Arabidopsis thaliana: one gene and its partners. The protein of the gene in region 1 interacts with the protein of each later gene in a pairwise test. Each region holds a gene or a part of one and is shown on either strand. Other genes may lie near its edges.

Evidence for each region.
Region 2: the proteins of TCP10 (region 1) and AN3 interact in binary tests that used the Arabidopsis thaliana proteins (3 or more experiments, as listed by UniProt).
Region 3: the proteins of TCP10 (region 1) and MAC5B interact in binary tests that used the Arabidopsis thaliana proteins (3 or more experiments, as listed by UniProt).

The regions. Positions count from the first base shown.
Region 1 is NC_003071.7:13,219,720-13,224,914, reverse strand, and holds TCP10 (TCP domain protein 10), read left to right. Parts: upstream 1-2,305; 5' UTR 2,306-2,845; coding exon 2,846-3,931; 3' UTR 3,932-3,937; intron 3,938-4,052; 3' UTR 4,053-4,437; downstream 4,438-5,195. UniProt on the Arabidopsis thaliana protein: Plays a pivotal role in the control of morphogenesis of shoot organs by negatively regulating the expression of boundary-specific genes such as CUC genes, probably through the induction of miRNA (e.g. miR164). Participates in ovule development.
Region 2 is NC_003076.8:10,646,314-10,651,803, forward strand, and holds AN3 (SSXT family protein), read right to left. Parts: upstream 3,750-5,490; 5' UTR 3,308-3,749; coding exon 3,227-3,307; exon of another isoform or gene 3,075-3,226; intron 3,063-3,074; exon of another isoform or gene 2,229-3,062; coding exon 2,152-2,228; intron 2,073-2,151; coding exon 1,988-2,072; intron 1,908-1,987; coding exon 1,518-1,907; 3' UTR 1,154-1,517; downstream 1-1,153. UniProt on the Arabidopsis thaliana protein: Transcription coactivator that plays a role in the regulation of cell expansion in leaf and cotyledons tissues.
Region 3 is NC_003071.7:12,649,808-12,655,489, forward strand, and holds MAC5B (CCCH-type zinc fingerfamily protein with RNA-binding domain-containing protein), read left to right. Parts: upstream 1-2,018; 5' UTR 2,019-2,203; coding exon 2,204-2,308; intron 2,309-2,703; coding exon 2,704-2,973; intron 2,974-3,093; coding exon 3,094-3,317; intron 3,318-3,498; coding exon 3,499-4,351; 3' UTR 4,352-4,529; downstream 4,530-5,682. Other genes in the region: PCNA2 (proliferating cell nuclear antigen 2), read right to left, coding at 332-556, 651-748, 832-984, 1,473-1,791; AT2G29590 (Thioesterase superfamily protein), read right to left, coding at 4,795-4,938, 5,041-5,181, 5,434-5,625.

The DNA of each region.
Region 1 (5,195 bases):
CGGTTGGCGGGTTGGAAGGGCCGATCTTTGAGCTTGGCAGGGAGAATCACTCTGACAAAAGCGGTTCTGTCTTCTATCCCGGTTCATGTAATGAGTGCGATTCTTTTACCGGTCTCTACGCTTGATACTTTGGATAGATACTCCAGAACTTTTCTTTGGGGGAGTACTATGGAGAAGAAAAAACAACACTTGCTATCTTGGCGTAAGATATGTAAGCCGAAAGCTGAGGGAGGGATCGGATTACGGTCTGCTCGTGATATGAATAAGGCCTTGGTAGCCAAGGTGGGGTGGCGTCTGCTTCAAGATAAAGAGAGCTTATGGGCACGGGTTGTTCGCAAAAAGTACAAAGTGGGTGGAGTACAAGATACTAGCTGGCTGAAACCACAACCAAGATGGTCCTCCACGTGGAGAAGTGTGGCAGTAGGGCTCCGGGAAGTGGTGGTTAAGGGCGTTGGATGGGTGCCTGGAGATGGGTGCACAATAAGGTTCTGGTTGGATCGCTGGCTGTTGCAGGAGCCGTTGGTGGAGCTTGGGACTGATATGATACCGGAGGGGGAGAGAATAAAGGTGGCAGCCGATTATTGGTTGCCGGGATCAGGTTGGAACCTGGAAATTCTGGGTTTGTATCTGCCAGAGACAGTTAAGAGGCGGTTGCTCTCGGTTGTGGTTCAGGTTTTTCTGGGTAATGGAGACGAGATATCATGGAAGGGTACACAGGATGGGGCCTTCACAGTCCGCTCTGCGTATTCCCTCCTACAAGGTGACGTTGGAGACAGGCCGAATATGGGGAGCTTCTTTAACAGAATCTGGAAGCTGATCACGCCTGAGAGAGTACGGGTGTTTATTTGGTTGGTGAGCCAGAATGTGATCATGACTAATGTGGAGAGAGTCCGGCGCCATTTGAGTGAGAATGCTATATGTTCGGTGTGTAATGGAGCCGAGGAAACAATACTCCATGTGTTGCGTGACTGCCCCGCTATGGAACCGATTTGGCGTCGGTTGCTGCCACTGAGACGACATCATGAGTTTTTTAGCCAGTCTTTATTGGAGTGGTTATTTACAAATATGGATCCAGTAAAGGGGATTTGGCCTACTCTTTTTGGTATGGGAATTTGGTGGGCTTGGAAGTGGAGGTGTTGTGATGTGTTTGGGGAACGAAAGATTTGTCGGGACAGGCTGAAGTTCATCAAAGACATGGCGGAGGAGGTGAGGAGAGTACATGTTGGTGCTGTTGGTAACCGGCCTAATGGTGTGCGGGTGGAAAGAATGATCAGGTGGCAGGTTCCAAGCGATGGGTGGGTGAAAATTACCACGGATGGAGCGTCCCGTGGGAATCACGGGCTGGCTGCGGCAGGAGGGGCCATCCGGAATGGGCAGGGGGAGTGGCTAGGTGGTTTTGCACTAAACATTGGATCTTGTGCAGCGCCATTAGCCGAGTTATGGGGCGCCTACTATGGGCTGCTCATTGCGTGGGACAAGGGGTTTCGACGAGTGGAGTTAGACTTGGATTGCAAGTTGGTGGTGGGTTTTTTAAGCACAGGGGTAAGCAACGCTCATCCGCTGTCCTTCCTGGTACGGTTGTGCCAAGGCTTCTTTACGAGGGACTGGTTAGTCCGTGTGTCACACGTGTATAGGGAAGCTAACCGTCTCGCTGACGGGTTAGCAAACTATGCCTTTACCTTGCCGCTAGGGCTTCATTGTTTTGATGCATGCCCAGAGGGAGTCCGTTTACTTTTGCTCGCAGATGTTAATGGAACAGAGTTCCCTCGAGCTGTTTTATTGTAATTTTTTGTAGTTTGTTCTTAATAAATTGGGGTAGGCAATTGCCACCCCTCAGCTTACCAAAAAAAAAAATCATACTAGAGTCAAATTATTCCATTGTCGACTTTGATTAGCATGTAATCCTAAGCCGACCAATGTGTGTGTATGTTGTGTGAAACATATGCTTTTCAAGTTTTAATTAATTAGTGAAGGAGGATTTGACATTAACCAAACAAAATATTACAAATTGGTGTAACTAAGATATGATATATGTTCATTTATTGATGTTTTTCAATTTTCCTATATTCCTTATTATATGATATATATAGTTATGTATGTTTCAAGAATTCGATATGGCACGCATGATTGAAGAATAATGATTGAGGAATTTTTCTGTAACAAAAAAATTTGAAATAAACAAATATGTGGCTAAGAACTTAACAAGGACACATGTTGATATGTGAAATAGGAATCTTATAATAAGGAACAAAAGGTTGAAAGCAAAAGGGTATTTATTTAGTTTACTTTCCTATTCTGAACCCTTAACTTCTGCTATCCTTTCCACCAACAATCTAATAGTATACTCTCTCTCTTTTTTTTCCTCTTCTTCTTCTTGTCCTTCGATTTTAGACCAACTAAACATATCAATATATTAAAGTAGCATCTCTCTCTCTCTCTCTCTCTCTCTCTCGCTCTTTTATTTTTAATATCAATTTTGTTGTCCAAATTCTCATCTCTTTGGGAAAACCCTAGACTAAAGATTCCAATCTCTTTTCTTCTAAATATTTCTTCATTTTTTCCCTTTTTTGATTTGGGTATGTTGGGTCATTGAATCTTGTGACTGCCATGGCAGATCTTTTGGGGATCTGCATAGAAGAGTTGCTTCTTGTAGCAGCTTTCAGGTAGCTGTGTCCAGCCTGCATCAGATGTTATTAACTCACTACACACCAAACACCACAATAACAACAAAACGGCAAGCATTTTGAAGAGGTAAACAAAGCAAGTGGGCAACAAAAACGGCACGCAAGTTTTTCTTCCAAGTTAAAACAACTCTTGGAATGTCATTTTGAAAGGTAAAAAAATAATGGGACTTAAAGGATATAGCGTCGGAGAAGGAGGAGGAGAGATAGTTGAGGTTCAAGGCGGTCACATAATCCGAGCCACTGGACGCAAAGACCGTCATAGCAAAGTGTTCACATCAAAGGGTCCACGTGACCGGCGCGTGAGACTCTCAGCTCACACGGCGATTCAATTCTACGATGTGCAAGACCGGTTAGGTTATGACCGGCCTAGCAAAGCCGTTGATTGGCTCATCAAGAAAGCCAAAACCGCTATTGATAAGCTTGAACTCGGGGAGACTACTACTACTACTACTCGTCAAGAACCGGTGAATACTAAACCGGAATCTCCCACTTTGGTTTTCCAAAGAGAGAACAATGACCAAACGCAGTTCGTGGCGGCCAATCTTGATCCTGAAGACGCAATGAAAACGTTTTTCCCGGCGACGACAACAACAAACGGTGGTGGTGGTACAAACATCAATTTCCAAAACTACCCTCATCAGGATGACAACAACATGGTCTCAAGAACAACAACACCACCACCAAACCTTAGCCAAGATCTTGGTCTCTCTCTTCACCCATTTCAAGGGAACAACAACACAGTCGTAGTTCCCGAGACCAACAATTTCACCACGACTCATTTCGACACGTTCGGGAGAATCTCTGGATGGAATCATCACGACTTAACTATGACGTCATCATCCTCATCAGAACATCAACAACAAGAACAAGAAGAAAGGAGTAATGGTGGTTTCATGGTGAATCATCATCCTCACCATCATCATCATCAACCGTCGATGATGACATTGCTTAATAGTCAGCAACAACAAGTGTTTCTTGGTGGCCAACAACAACAACAACAAAGGGGTACCCTTCAGTCCAGTTTATTCCCTCATTCGTTTCGTTCTTGGGATCATCATCAAACGACGTCGGATCATCATCATCATCAGAATCAAGCTTCTTCGATGTTTGCTTCATCATCACAGTATGGTTCTCATGGGATGATGATGATGCAAGGCCTTAGTTTCCCCAACACTACAAGACTACTCCACGGAGAAGAAGCTACTCAACCAAACTCTTCTTCTTCTCCTCCAAACTCACACCTCTAAACTAAGGTTTGCTTCTTCTTTTTAATGTATTTATATATTTTAAGTATAATAGGTTATTAATCAAGAAACCAGACAATAATTAAATCTTTCATAATTAAATTACCACATGTATTTCTTTCAGACAACCATGGAGGTTCAAATTCATGATGACATGCATTGAACAAGAAGGAGGAAATTAATGTGATGAATGGAGCTAGAGTAAGCGCTATATTAATTAGTATTACCATCTATCCATATATTTATGATTCAAGACTATTATTACTCATTTAGTGTTTGTTATTATTATTCAATTTTGCTTGTTTGTTTCTTATCATCTTTGCATTGATCATCAAGATTGTGATATTTGAAAAGATGGGTTTTATGTGTGTTTTGGTTTAGTACTGGCGTTAGGCTGGGATATTGTAATCTCATATTTTTGTTCTACGAGTGAGTTTGAATTTTCTGGTTTTTACTTGCGGTTTCTATTTCTTCGGTTAAGTAAAGAGTAATTGAAGAACGTTAAAAGCATAGGTCGTATTACATGAGTAATGAAGAAAAAGGTGTTCATTATCATCTGTGCAGATACCAATTTTCTTTTGTAATATAGCTTAGCTTGCTAAAAAGTTGCGACTATTTAATAGAAAAGTCAAATTTATTACAAATTTGGGATTTTTATGAAAAAGTTGCTATTGAGTATTCAATGCTTTGTGACAGTGATACCAAAGGATCTCGATAGTTTAGTCTGCTTTACTTGGTCTAATTGGGTTTGACAGAAGATTTTTCTATAATTCATCTTGAAATAATTGTTTTAGTCATATAGATAGGCGGGCTATATAGAGAATGACATTTATCACTTTTTGGCACTTTTACATATAGTATATATATATGTACATATATTTGGTTTGATGAAATACATGATAATATATTTAGGTTAAAGGAGTTTGTACTTTGTTGTCACATGATGATCATTAATATTTTTCCCAACGATGATCATCATTTTTATACAAGACGTTAAAAGCTACAGAATGTTCGTACTTTTAAAAGTCATCTACTGCGAGAATGACTACTTTGGCCTTTTGATTATGGATTGTGCTTGGATTATTAGAAGAGTTCAACAAAAGGATTACAACTTCCATCTACAGTTTTGTTACAAAAGGATTGTACTATATGTAAGTGTAACCCAACAAACCTAAACCAACAGACAGGAATGCGGTAGAGCAAACCGGTACAATCAAAATCAAACACCCTTCATAAAACTATATCGGATACGCCAAACAATATGAAA
Region 2 (5,490 bases), on another chromosome or scaffold:
ACAAAAAAATTCTTTAAAACTTCATTACTTACACGATAATGATTATCTTGGCTCCAAACTTCGTAAATAAACAAGATAAACACTTCTTGAGCATCAATGTACGTTCGCAATTAATGTTTTTTCCTGGGTTCATTTTTAACTCAACAATTATTATCAATAATTTTATAATATTATAACATGTAATAATGATTTTGCATTAATTATAACAACAGTCACGTCTAAACTTTTTGGGCCATTAAATGTTTATGTCACTTCGTTTTTAATAAAAAAAACCTCCCTTCTAATTGTACAGCTGCACTCCTCAACGTGAAACAAAAATATCTTCAACTAAACCGGAACAGTGTACCTAACTAAACCTGACTAACTAAACTGTACATTCAACAGTTTCTTAGCTCTAGCAGCAAGGGCAAAAGGGTCAAATTTCAGCTGAAAAGACAAAACGTGAAAACCACTTTTCACTTTGTCAATCTCTGAAAATAAAACATGGTCAAAGGGTGTGGTCCGCAAATTACCCTTTATAATACCATGTCAATGTGAACAAAAGAAGAAGAATAATGTGTTGGTCATGAGAAGAAGATATGACAAATCTATCTAGTTTTCGAAATAGCGCACTACCAGTTAGACAAAAATGAAGTCTAGTAGAGCAGGCATGAAGCCAACATGTCAAATACATACTTGGGGCCTATGGTGGTGCGGTCTAAACATTTAACTAGTGTTTGTGACATATTGTTTCAAGGCTTATAGTTTTGCCAAAGGGAAGGAAGTAATAGAATAACTGAAGACTTCTCTTGGCTTGTGATTGAGTTGTAAAAAGCAGGGGCTGGGCTTGGCCTCCTAGGGGAATCCAGACACTAGAAAAACAATCGTCGATGGAACTCTCAACTAAGGGAAATCCACACTCAATACTACTTGAAGAATCTAGGACGAAGCAAAGGGACCAAAAGACACATTTTTGAAACCCTCTTTTCTTCACGAGACTTTATCTTAAATGGACCCGAATATGGTCTTTGGTTTGAGTGCAGCTTCGGGTGGCTATGGTCCGGTCTTCAGCAGTATGGGACCTTGCGAGGACCACTAAGGCTGGTCATATGAGTCTTGGACTGAACCGGTTGGACTTTATCAACTATAAAATAAAATTATGTATAACAGCCAGAAAAAAAAAACAATAATATAGCCTACATAACGATTTAGAATCCAAATAGGTAACATCAATGATCTACAAAACTTCAGTCCTGGTTAAAGCAAAAGAGTCTAACTCAGAGAAATAACATATTAAGATTACGACACAACTTGGAGCCAGCAGATTTACATGGTACACTACCACGAAAGAGGTTCACTGTTTTAGGGAACAAACATAGAGAGAATAACAAAACTAAAAAGAAGTAAATAAAGAGTTCTTTGCTTCTTCAACAAGCAACTAAAACCAAAACACACTAACTTCAAGACTCCTATTATTACTACTACTTCTTCTGCTGCTGCTGCTGCTTCATCATTAAGATTCCTTGTGCCACACTCTTTCAATTCCCATCATCTGATGATTTCAAGTAAAGGGTTTCTCCACCATCCCCTGAACTTCCTCCTCTGCCTTCACCGCCACCACCACTTCCCATTTCCGGCTTCCCACGGCCAAAATCATGAAACCCACCAGCCTCTCCCTGAAGGATATGGAGACCACTGCTTCCTCCTCCTCCGCTGCTCGAGCTCATTCCAAGCTGGCTATGGTGCAATTGCTGATGCTGAAGCGTCGCGTAAGGCTGCTGCTGCTGCTGTTGCTGAGCATACAACATTGAAGATCGAGCCGCCATTAGAGACTGCTGAGTCATCTGTTGCTGTTGAGTCGCTTGTTGCTGCTGCAAATAGTGTGACCCTCCTTCTCCCTGAATCATCCCACCACCAGCAGATCCATACTAATAACCAAACAAAACAAATCACTTTCTCAATTGATCATACAACAAAATTTGGAATACTTCACTGTATAAACAATCACCTGGCTATGCACACTTGGTGGCTGAGGCTGAGAATCTGCTATTGCAGCTAGGTACATTAGGTTGCGTTGAAGCCTTGCTTGATTCCTATAACCATTTTAATCATCATTTCTTGTTACTCAACAGAACACAAGTGAAATCATAAAGGAGATATGTTGTCTCTTACTCGGCGCATTCGCTAAGCTTTCCAGAGTTTTGAGACTCAACAATCTTCAGAATCAACGATTTGTTTTCGTCCAAGTACTACAATCAAACATTTTCATTAATCATTACTAATGCTACAAACAAAAAATTTGCATACTATTTTGTTTTTGTTGTAATAAAGACATAGAAAATCTCAAAAGGAGACCCCAGTAACTTAAATTCCGACTTATCTCAAAAGACAATAATGTTGAAATATCACAAAAGTGTAACGAAAGATTTTCTTCGAAAAGATTTTGAGGACCACACAAAAAAAAAACTGAGATAAGGACCAGATGTTGTTTCGGACCACAAAGTATATCTGGTCATGTAAGCAATAAAAGAAACACTTGGACTGGAAAATACACATAGATCTACTTATAATGATAACAAATCTAAACAGGACCACCCACAATATTCACATAAATGGCTTTGTGGTTTTTGCCATCAATGAAACTTCCAGAACCCGAAAACCAAGACAAGAAGAAAAAACGAGATATGTGAAACAAATCTTCAGTTCCCAAGATTTGTCTGTTTTGAACACGTTATTTTTCATTACATGTTTCAAGAACTCAAAACACAACTGGACCCTAAACATTCATTTTCATTGAAAGAAAGAATCTTTCTTAACTTTGTCTGGTTTTAGACATTTAATTAGCATCAAAGTTAACTGATAATACACCAAATCTATAAGGAAAAGAAAAAAAGTTGAAAGAATCATCTTAGTGACCAAAGCATCTCTACCAACCAAATTTATCAAACATAAACACACATGTATTAAAACTAATTTCTCTATGAAAAAAAAAGACATGGAAACAAGAATAACAAGAACTCTTTTACCAAACAAAAAAGAACCAATGAAAAAAAATCATCTATGTTATGAGAACAGAAGAAAAGGGTTTCACATACTTTTTTATATAATATAAAGAAAAAGTTATAAGGTACTTGCAAGAGAGATTTCTTCACTTTCCTTTATGAATTCAAAGAAACATATAATAAAGAAAAAAGAAAGAGATAATATAATAGAAGAAGAAGGAGAAGGAGGAGAAGGAGAAGAGAACCTGTTGGATATGATCAGAGGTAACATTGCTGGGGTAGTAACCAGCCATCATGGGCTGCATCTGCATCAGGTGCTGTTGCATTTCTTTTGCTATTTTATATAAAACCTGATAATTCCTTCTTATTTATTTATATATTTTATATATATAAGTTTTTATAGAGACAACCCCCACCACAAAACCCAGAGGAAAAAGAGAAGTCTCACCAAGTGAGAGAGAGAGATATTAACTTTTGTATCTGTCTCTCTCTCTTTCCTCTATGCTTCTGTATATAGAAAACTCTTAACTATTGAAGATGTGTATCTCTGTGTGTGTGTTATCTCGCTTTCTCTCCTCCACAAAAGTTGTTTTGCGTTAAAAGACTGAGAGAGACAGTGAAGTCTCTTAAATAGAAAGAGAGAGAGAGAAGAGAAGAGAGTGTTTTTCTCTTTTTCTTGGGTTTTGGGGTTTGGTTTTGTTGGTTTCTTTCTGTCTCATCCTATCTCTGTCTCTGCGAAGAAGAGGAGGTCACGTGACGAGTCATACTTTATTATAGAGACGTGAGACCTTTACATATATACTACTACTTATCAATATGTACACATTGTTGATTAAATTATTACTTTGAAGTTTGAACCCTTCGTATATAGAGACGTAACTATATACCAAATAATACTGTTTACTCCTTCGTATGTATATACGGTGTATTTACTTGTATATATATGTAATTATGTATATTAAAATCTCTTACAACTTTTGTATAATATTTTCTACATTTATAGATTCATTTCGGGATTTTATAATAAAGTAATGCAAAGTAGGATTTATTGTTTTCTAGATTGTTTTGGTAATTTATTGTTTTCTAGTTTTCTAGTTTTCTTTTACTATATCAAAGAATATTTTTGTCGTCTTATTTTGTTTTGGTAATTAATATATAAAAAAAAGATGTCTTTAGTTTTTCGAAAAATAAGATTCATGTATTTACATTTTAATATAAAAAAATGTTCTACATAGGAGTTTTTAACCTAGTGGATTGAATTTGTATTTTTTTAATAATTTATTATATTTAGTTTTACACAACATTTTTTTTACAATGGTTTAATTTTTTATCATGAGAGGTCACATCTAGATGCGATTCTTCACATTTAAAATAAAATGGATTAATGAAAAAATTAGATTAAGAAGTAGCTATGTGAGATAATTTTCTTTGTAGATGTTTGATTGTGTTGATCAAAAGAGTCTCTTCTCTCTTATACCTTAAAATCATATTTATAGGATTTAATCTCAACCAAATTACTGAATTATGTTGTGACTTAGTCTTCTTATGCGGATTAGATTTGGCATAACTAGTTCCCTAGAACATGTTATCAAAACAAGTGTGTTTGGTTTGTTAGCTTAATGATGTTTTTCATTTTGTTTTAAAAGTAGCGCATGACTCGTCTCGTCTCATCACTAACCATCTTTATGTGTTTTGGCAAAATGCCAAAATGTAAACACATTTCTTACGCTTACCAATAGTTATCTTCTTTTTTTTTTTGGTCTTTTTTTTTTATCGAATCACGTAACACATTATAATTGACTGATATCTTAATAGATGAAATTTATCCTCAACAATGATCAATACATGTTTCTTTTTTTTTACATATGTTAATACTAACTCGATCACTTGTCTCGACCAATAAGACGAGTTATCGACCATCAAAACACTGCCCTAACTTGGTTTGAATGTTTAATATTGATGATTCTCAACCAAAGGGTCTCTAAAGTTTTTGAAATGCTTTTGTAAAGAAAATAATAATAATTAGTTTGGAGTTATTTGATAAGTCTCATTAACTTTTTGTTCGAATTCTTGAAGTACGTTTCGATGGTCGGTAATTTAAAAAGAAAAAGATTCAACAGCTATATTATCTTTGCGTGGTTATACTTAATTCCACGTTAAACCCTCTTGTAGATGTGGTTAAATATTAATTAACACTTTATTCGTTGGTACCAAAAATGGATCCGAGATATTCCTTCTGCATATATGAACCACGGAGGCTCAACTTTTAATGTTTGTTTGTTTAACTATAGTATTATGTATGAACATTAAAGTAATCTGTAAGGATAAATGAATTGTTTTCTTTTCCCGATTAATTATGTCTTATAGACAATAACCAAACCAATAGTGTTTCTATGCCATCTAAAAGCAAACCAAAAACACTAGGAACAAAACTAAAAATACCATTTCTTCTTTTTTATCAGACCAATATAGTTGTTTGCATACTGTAAATTGAGATTATGAAGTTAAA
Region 3 (5,682 bases), 570 kb from region 1:
TTTTTGCCAAATTTAAGAACAAACAGAAGTAAAGAGTGTTAAACATGTTTTTTACAAATTGTAAAAGCATCCAAAAACATCAATCAACACTAGTTCGTGAGGTTGCAGAAGCCACAAACAAACGTGTTTTAGGGCTTCGTGTCTTCTTTTTCTTCAATGTTTAACAAACAGATGAAAAGTGTTATAAACAAGCTTTTCCAAATTTCAGAAAGACAAACATCATACGATTATCTAGTTTAGCATTGCCTTAAGATAGTAAATCCAGAAAACAACTGAATCAAGACAGACATTTCAACAAAGGACTCGAACGAAGACTATCAAACATTCATCATTATTCTGGTTTGGTGTCTTCTTCTTCTTCAATCTTAGGCGCCAGATAGTATCGAATGTAACCCATCTCAGCCACCTTGTACTCCACCACGACCGGTAACTCAGAGGACAAACTGATGGTCACAGTTTCCGACAATGGAGTAGCCTTTGTGAAGGAGTTCATGTACCTCAATGCAAATGAAAGCGAAACAGGCTCGTTCATCTCTATCACAATAGCATCTTCAGGCTGCAAAACACACATACAAACATAAGGTCACTTCAACATTGTATTGGACAGATTATTAAACAAATCTCTCTAGATGACTAGTGATTGTTCATACTTTGTCGACGGTAGTATTCTGCCTGAGCACAATGTTTGCTGTCCCGATATCACCTGCTGTTGAAAACTTCACCCCTTCTTTTGTTACCGAGATCACAACTGCAAAATCATAACATCAAAACCAGAATCATGATTAGAGAATCCTCGCAGTGATACACCAAATAAACAAACAGTTCATTTACCTGTGTCACCAATGCTACTGAGATCTTTGCATATCCTGGAAAATTCACCAGAAGGCATTCTCACAATCGAGTGGTACTCAGCATCAGGAATTCCTAAATGCTCACTGTCGATATCCATCAGCTTCATCTCAAAATCTGCAATCTTGTCTTGTGCTGCATCATCAACACCATTTAAATAATGAGATTAACACCACATAGTCAATATCAAACAAAGTTCCTCTGTTAACTTTCACTAAATCAAGAAACTCTATTCACTTTCAAACTATAGTCTTTAAGCTAGAGACTATACCTATTCTGAAAACAAAAATGGAAGGACTCATTCTCATCAAGCAAGTTCTAGTTTCTGTCAAATGAAACCTATAAATAACAGTTCAGATCACTAATAACATCATTAACTACACAAAAACAAAGCCATATCAAACCTTATTCCAAACCAAAAACCCTCTATTAACATAGATTTTATCTTCTCTTTCATCTCTTACAAACTAAAGCTTTCAAGAAATGGACTGAATCATTCTCTACAATCATATTCTAGCTTCTGGCAAATCAAACCTATAAACACAGAATCAGGTCACCAATAGCATCAACATTGACAACAAAACCAAAGCCCTAACAAACAAAAATCGATTTGAAGAACTTACTGGGACTCTCAAACATGAAAGTAACAGTGTCGCTACCATCATCAGCTTTGATGGTGATGATATCATCATTTCCAGCACATTTCAGCATCTTAGACATATTACCAAGATTCATTCCCATAGAGAGGTTCCTATCGCATCTATAGTGCTCGAAACCTTCAGATCTAAGCAAAAGAGACACCAACGCGACATGGCTCGAATCCATAGCTTGAAGCGAGAACCCTGTGGTCGAACAGTCGAAGTTCGCATCGTTCACCAGATCTTTGACCGCTTCTAGAACCTTCTTCAGTAGAGAACCTTGAACTAAACGAAGCTCCAACATCTTCTGGGAAATTATCGAAAGGTTAGAGTGTGAATCGAAACGGTTAGGGTTTTTAGAGCTGTTGAAATTTCTGGGAGGAGATTGCAATTGTTAGCGGGAAGTGATATTATAAGCTGAGATTTTGTGGCGCCATTTAGCGATTTTAGGGTATTTTTGTTCCCGCCTGTGTGTGACGATGAATTATCATCTGTGTGAGTCCGTATTGTTTATTTCAGTACACCACCATCACTTTAAGCTTTCTTATTTCATGGGTTTAAATTGGGCCAAACAAACATTCGGCCCAACAGCAGCTGTAATATTAAAGATTCCCGAAAAAATCGAAACGAGAGCAAATCTGCTCTTCAAGGTAATCTTCGTGTTCGAGACTGAAGAAGAAATCCAGAAATCATTGAGGAAGGAAGAGAATTAGGAAATGGCGCATAGAATACTGAGAGATCACGAGGCTGATGGATGGGAACGTTCTGATTTCCCAATCATCTGTGAGTCTTGTCTCGGTGACAATCCTTACGTGAGAATGGTATATTCTTCGCTTCCTATGTTTCTCCTCAAACAAATTCGATTTCCTTGCCTTTAGCTAGATTTTTTTTTAACATTCATGTGTCTTTATTAAGATCTCCTTTCATTTGTCCATTTTCGAGCTTGTTTAATGCTTTTATGTTTCTTAGTGTTGAAGCTGCAATTTTAGTGATTTGAGATTTTAGGGTTTAAGCGATTTAATATACAATTCATAACCTTTGGTAAAAATCAGAATTCATGGAGTTGTAGTTCAAAATGATATCTTTGGTTTGTTCTGATCAAATTTGCTTAGAGGGAATGTAATTCATTGAATACTGTCTCATGTTATGTCTGGTAGTGATGTGCAGCTTCATGTTTGATTGATTGATTGATTTATTGTTGTTGTTTGGTATGTAGACAAAGGCGAATTACGATAAAGAGTGTAAGATCTGTACCCGGCCTTTCACGGTTTTCAGATGGCGACCTGGTAGGGATGCGAGATACAAGAAGACTGAAGTTTGTCAGACATGTTGCAAGTTGAAGAATGTGTGCCAAGTTTGTCTCTTGGATCTTGAGTATGGTCTTCCAGTTCAGGTCAGAGACACGGCGCTCAACATTAGTACTCATGATTCTATCCCAAAAAGTGATGTGAACCGAGAGTTTTTCGCTGAAGAGCATGATCGAAAGGTATGGTGACTCTGCGTTCTAACTAGTTATATTATTTGAGTATTGATTGGTTTGAGATTTGGCTATACAGTTTCTCTACTTTGTAATGGCCTATTGAAATGGTTTTGTTTTCTTGTGTAGACGAGAGCTGGACTAGATTATGAGTCTTCTTTTGGGAAGATTCGGCCCAACGATACCATTCGTATGCTTCAAAGGACAACGCCTTACTACAAAAGGAACCGAGCTCATATTTGTAGTTTCTTCATTAGGGGAGAGTGTACAAGAGGTGATGAGTGTCCATACCGTCATGAGATGCCTGAAACAGGAGAGTTATCCCAGCAGAACATTAAAGACCGTTATTATGGGTAAGCATACTTCTAACTTTCATTTTGTTTGAGTATGATAATATTGAGTTACTCCTCAATTTCTTGCTTTGGTATATCATGAAAGAGAGTTATGAAAAATACATCAGTTTGTGTGCGTAAACTGGCTGTTATTTTGGTGATATTGGAACTGTTTTCTCATCTTATTCTTCACTTCCTGCAGTGTAAACGATCCAGTTGCGTTGAAGTTACTTGGCAAGGCTGGGGAGATGGGTACTTTGGAATCTCCAGAGGATCAAAGCATCAGAACGCTTTATGTTGGTGGGCTAAACTCGAGAGTCCTTGAGCAAGACATTCGTGATCAATTCTACGCCCATGGAGAAATCGAATCCATCAGAATCTTGGCTGAGAAAGCATGTGCGTTTGTCACTTACACAACCCGAGAAGGAGCAGAGAAAGCTGCAGAAGAGCTCAGTAACAGGCTAGTTGTCAACGGTCAGAGGCTAAAACTCACATGGGGAAGACCTCAGGTTCCCAAACCTGATCAAGATGGTTCTAACCAACAGGGCAGTGTGGCTCATAGTGGTTTACTACCTCGAGCAGTTATATCTCAGCAACAGAATCAACCTCCACCAATGCTACAATACTATATGCACCCACCACCACCACAACCTCCTCATCAAGACAGACCATTTTACCCATCAATGGACCCTCAGAGAATGGGTGCAGTTAGTTCGTCCAAAGAAAGCGGTTCAAGCACCAGTGACAACAGAGGAGCTTCTTCTTCTTCTTACACTATGCCACCACATGGCCACTATCCTCAGCACCAGCCATACCCGCCACCATCATATGGAGGATATATGCAACCACCTTACCAGCAGTATCCTCCTTACCACCATGGCCATTCACAACAAGCTGATCATGATTACCCACAACAACCAGGTCCCGGTTCAAGGCCTAATCCTCCACATCCAAGTTCAGTCTCTGCTCCACCACCTGACTCTGTGTCTGCAGCACCTTCAGGATCCTCTCAGCAATCTGCTGATGCTGCTGTTACTACTGGTTCGTCTCAATAGGAACCGTTGTCAGTTAAAATGTAGTGCGAATTTCCGGCCATATCTACATTTTGACTTTTTGCTTCTGCTATTTAAAATTAGTTTCCAATGTAAGAGAAGAGAATTGTTACAGTAGTTGTAGACTCTTGTTGACATTATAATTTTGAATTTTTGATAATCCAACATACACATTAAATCCAAGCTGAAACCATAGACAACAAAATTCTCTTGAAGCTTCTTCAAATTCCTCTTTAAACAGCTTTCAATGTTGTATAGATGAGACATATCATACCATCCTCATCAACATAACTATCACAGTTACTGAATGGTTTGATCTTTATAAGCTATGTACCAAGGTTTTAGATTCACAACCAGAAAGAACAAAGGACCTAACCAAATTTACCTAACCATAATCTTATTATTGAAAACAGACATTACAGTGATACAAGACTTAAAAGTTGGACTCAGAGCTTACTAGCTTGTCTACCAAACATAGAATGTCGACCTTCCGCTATAATCTCCCCGGTCATCTTGTTTCTGACTACAACGATTGTTCCTTTATAACCTCCTCTCTCTCCTAACAATCTCGACGTTATCTCCAACTCCTCCTGAAAATTCATTTCCATTTCAATATCATATCTCTCAATCCATTTCTATAGCAAACAAACAGTCCCAAAGTACAGATTGAAAAAAGACTTGAGCAGACTTACACCAAGCTTAGCTTTTGAAAGGAATGCAATAGACATGTCCACTGAAACACTCATAGGTAAGCCTTCGCCATGTACAAGTGCTCCACCAACTTCATCCACAAGATTTGCAATCGCACCATTTGCTAAATTCTTGTCTCTGTCCTGACATTATCAAAACATTAAAATATCAACATCGTCTCCAATAAAAGAAAAAAACGACACAATCAAGTTCAAGCATCTTCTAGATTCTGCTCAAGTTTCCAAAGACTAATAGTATCACCGAGAACTATCATCTTCAAACATCTGACAATAATGCCATTAAACCTCAAATTAGCTTATTTCCAAAAACCTATCACGCTAATTCGACAATTAATCAAAATAGAAGGGGCTTAGAGGATTGAGAGAAAGACTTACCGTCAAACGAAGAGGAACCTTGAAAGAGCAGGAAATGAAACCCGGTTCGACTCGGTTGACTCGGATTCCTCTGAGACTAAAATTCTCGTAGAAGCTTTTCCCTTCACCTAAAAATTCTTCAACTCGCGGTGCCTCACCGTCGTCAACCACCTCATCGCTCAATTGCAGATACTCCATAATTTTCTCCATCATCGTCTTTCTAATTTCTTTCAATTCTTATTTTATTTTTATTTTTTGGATAAATAAATA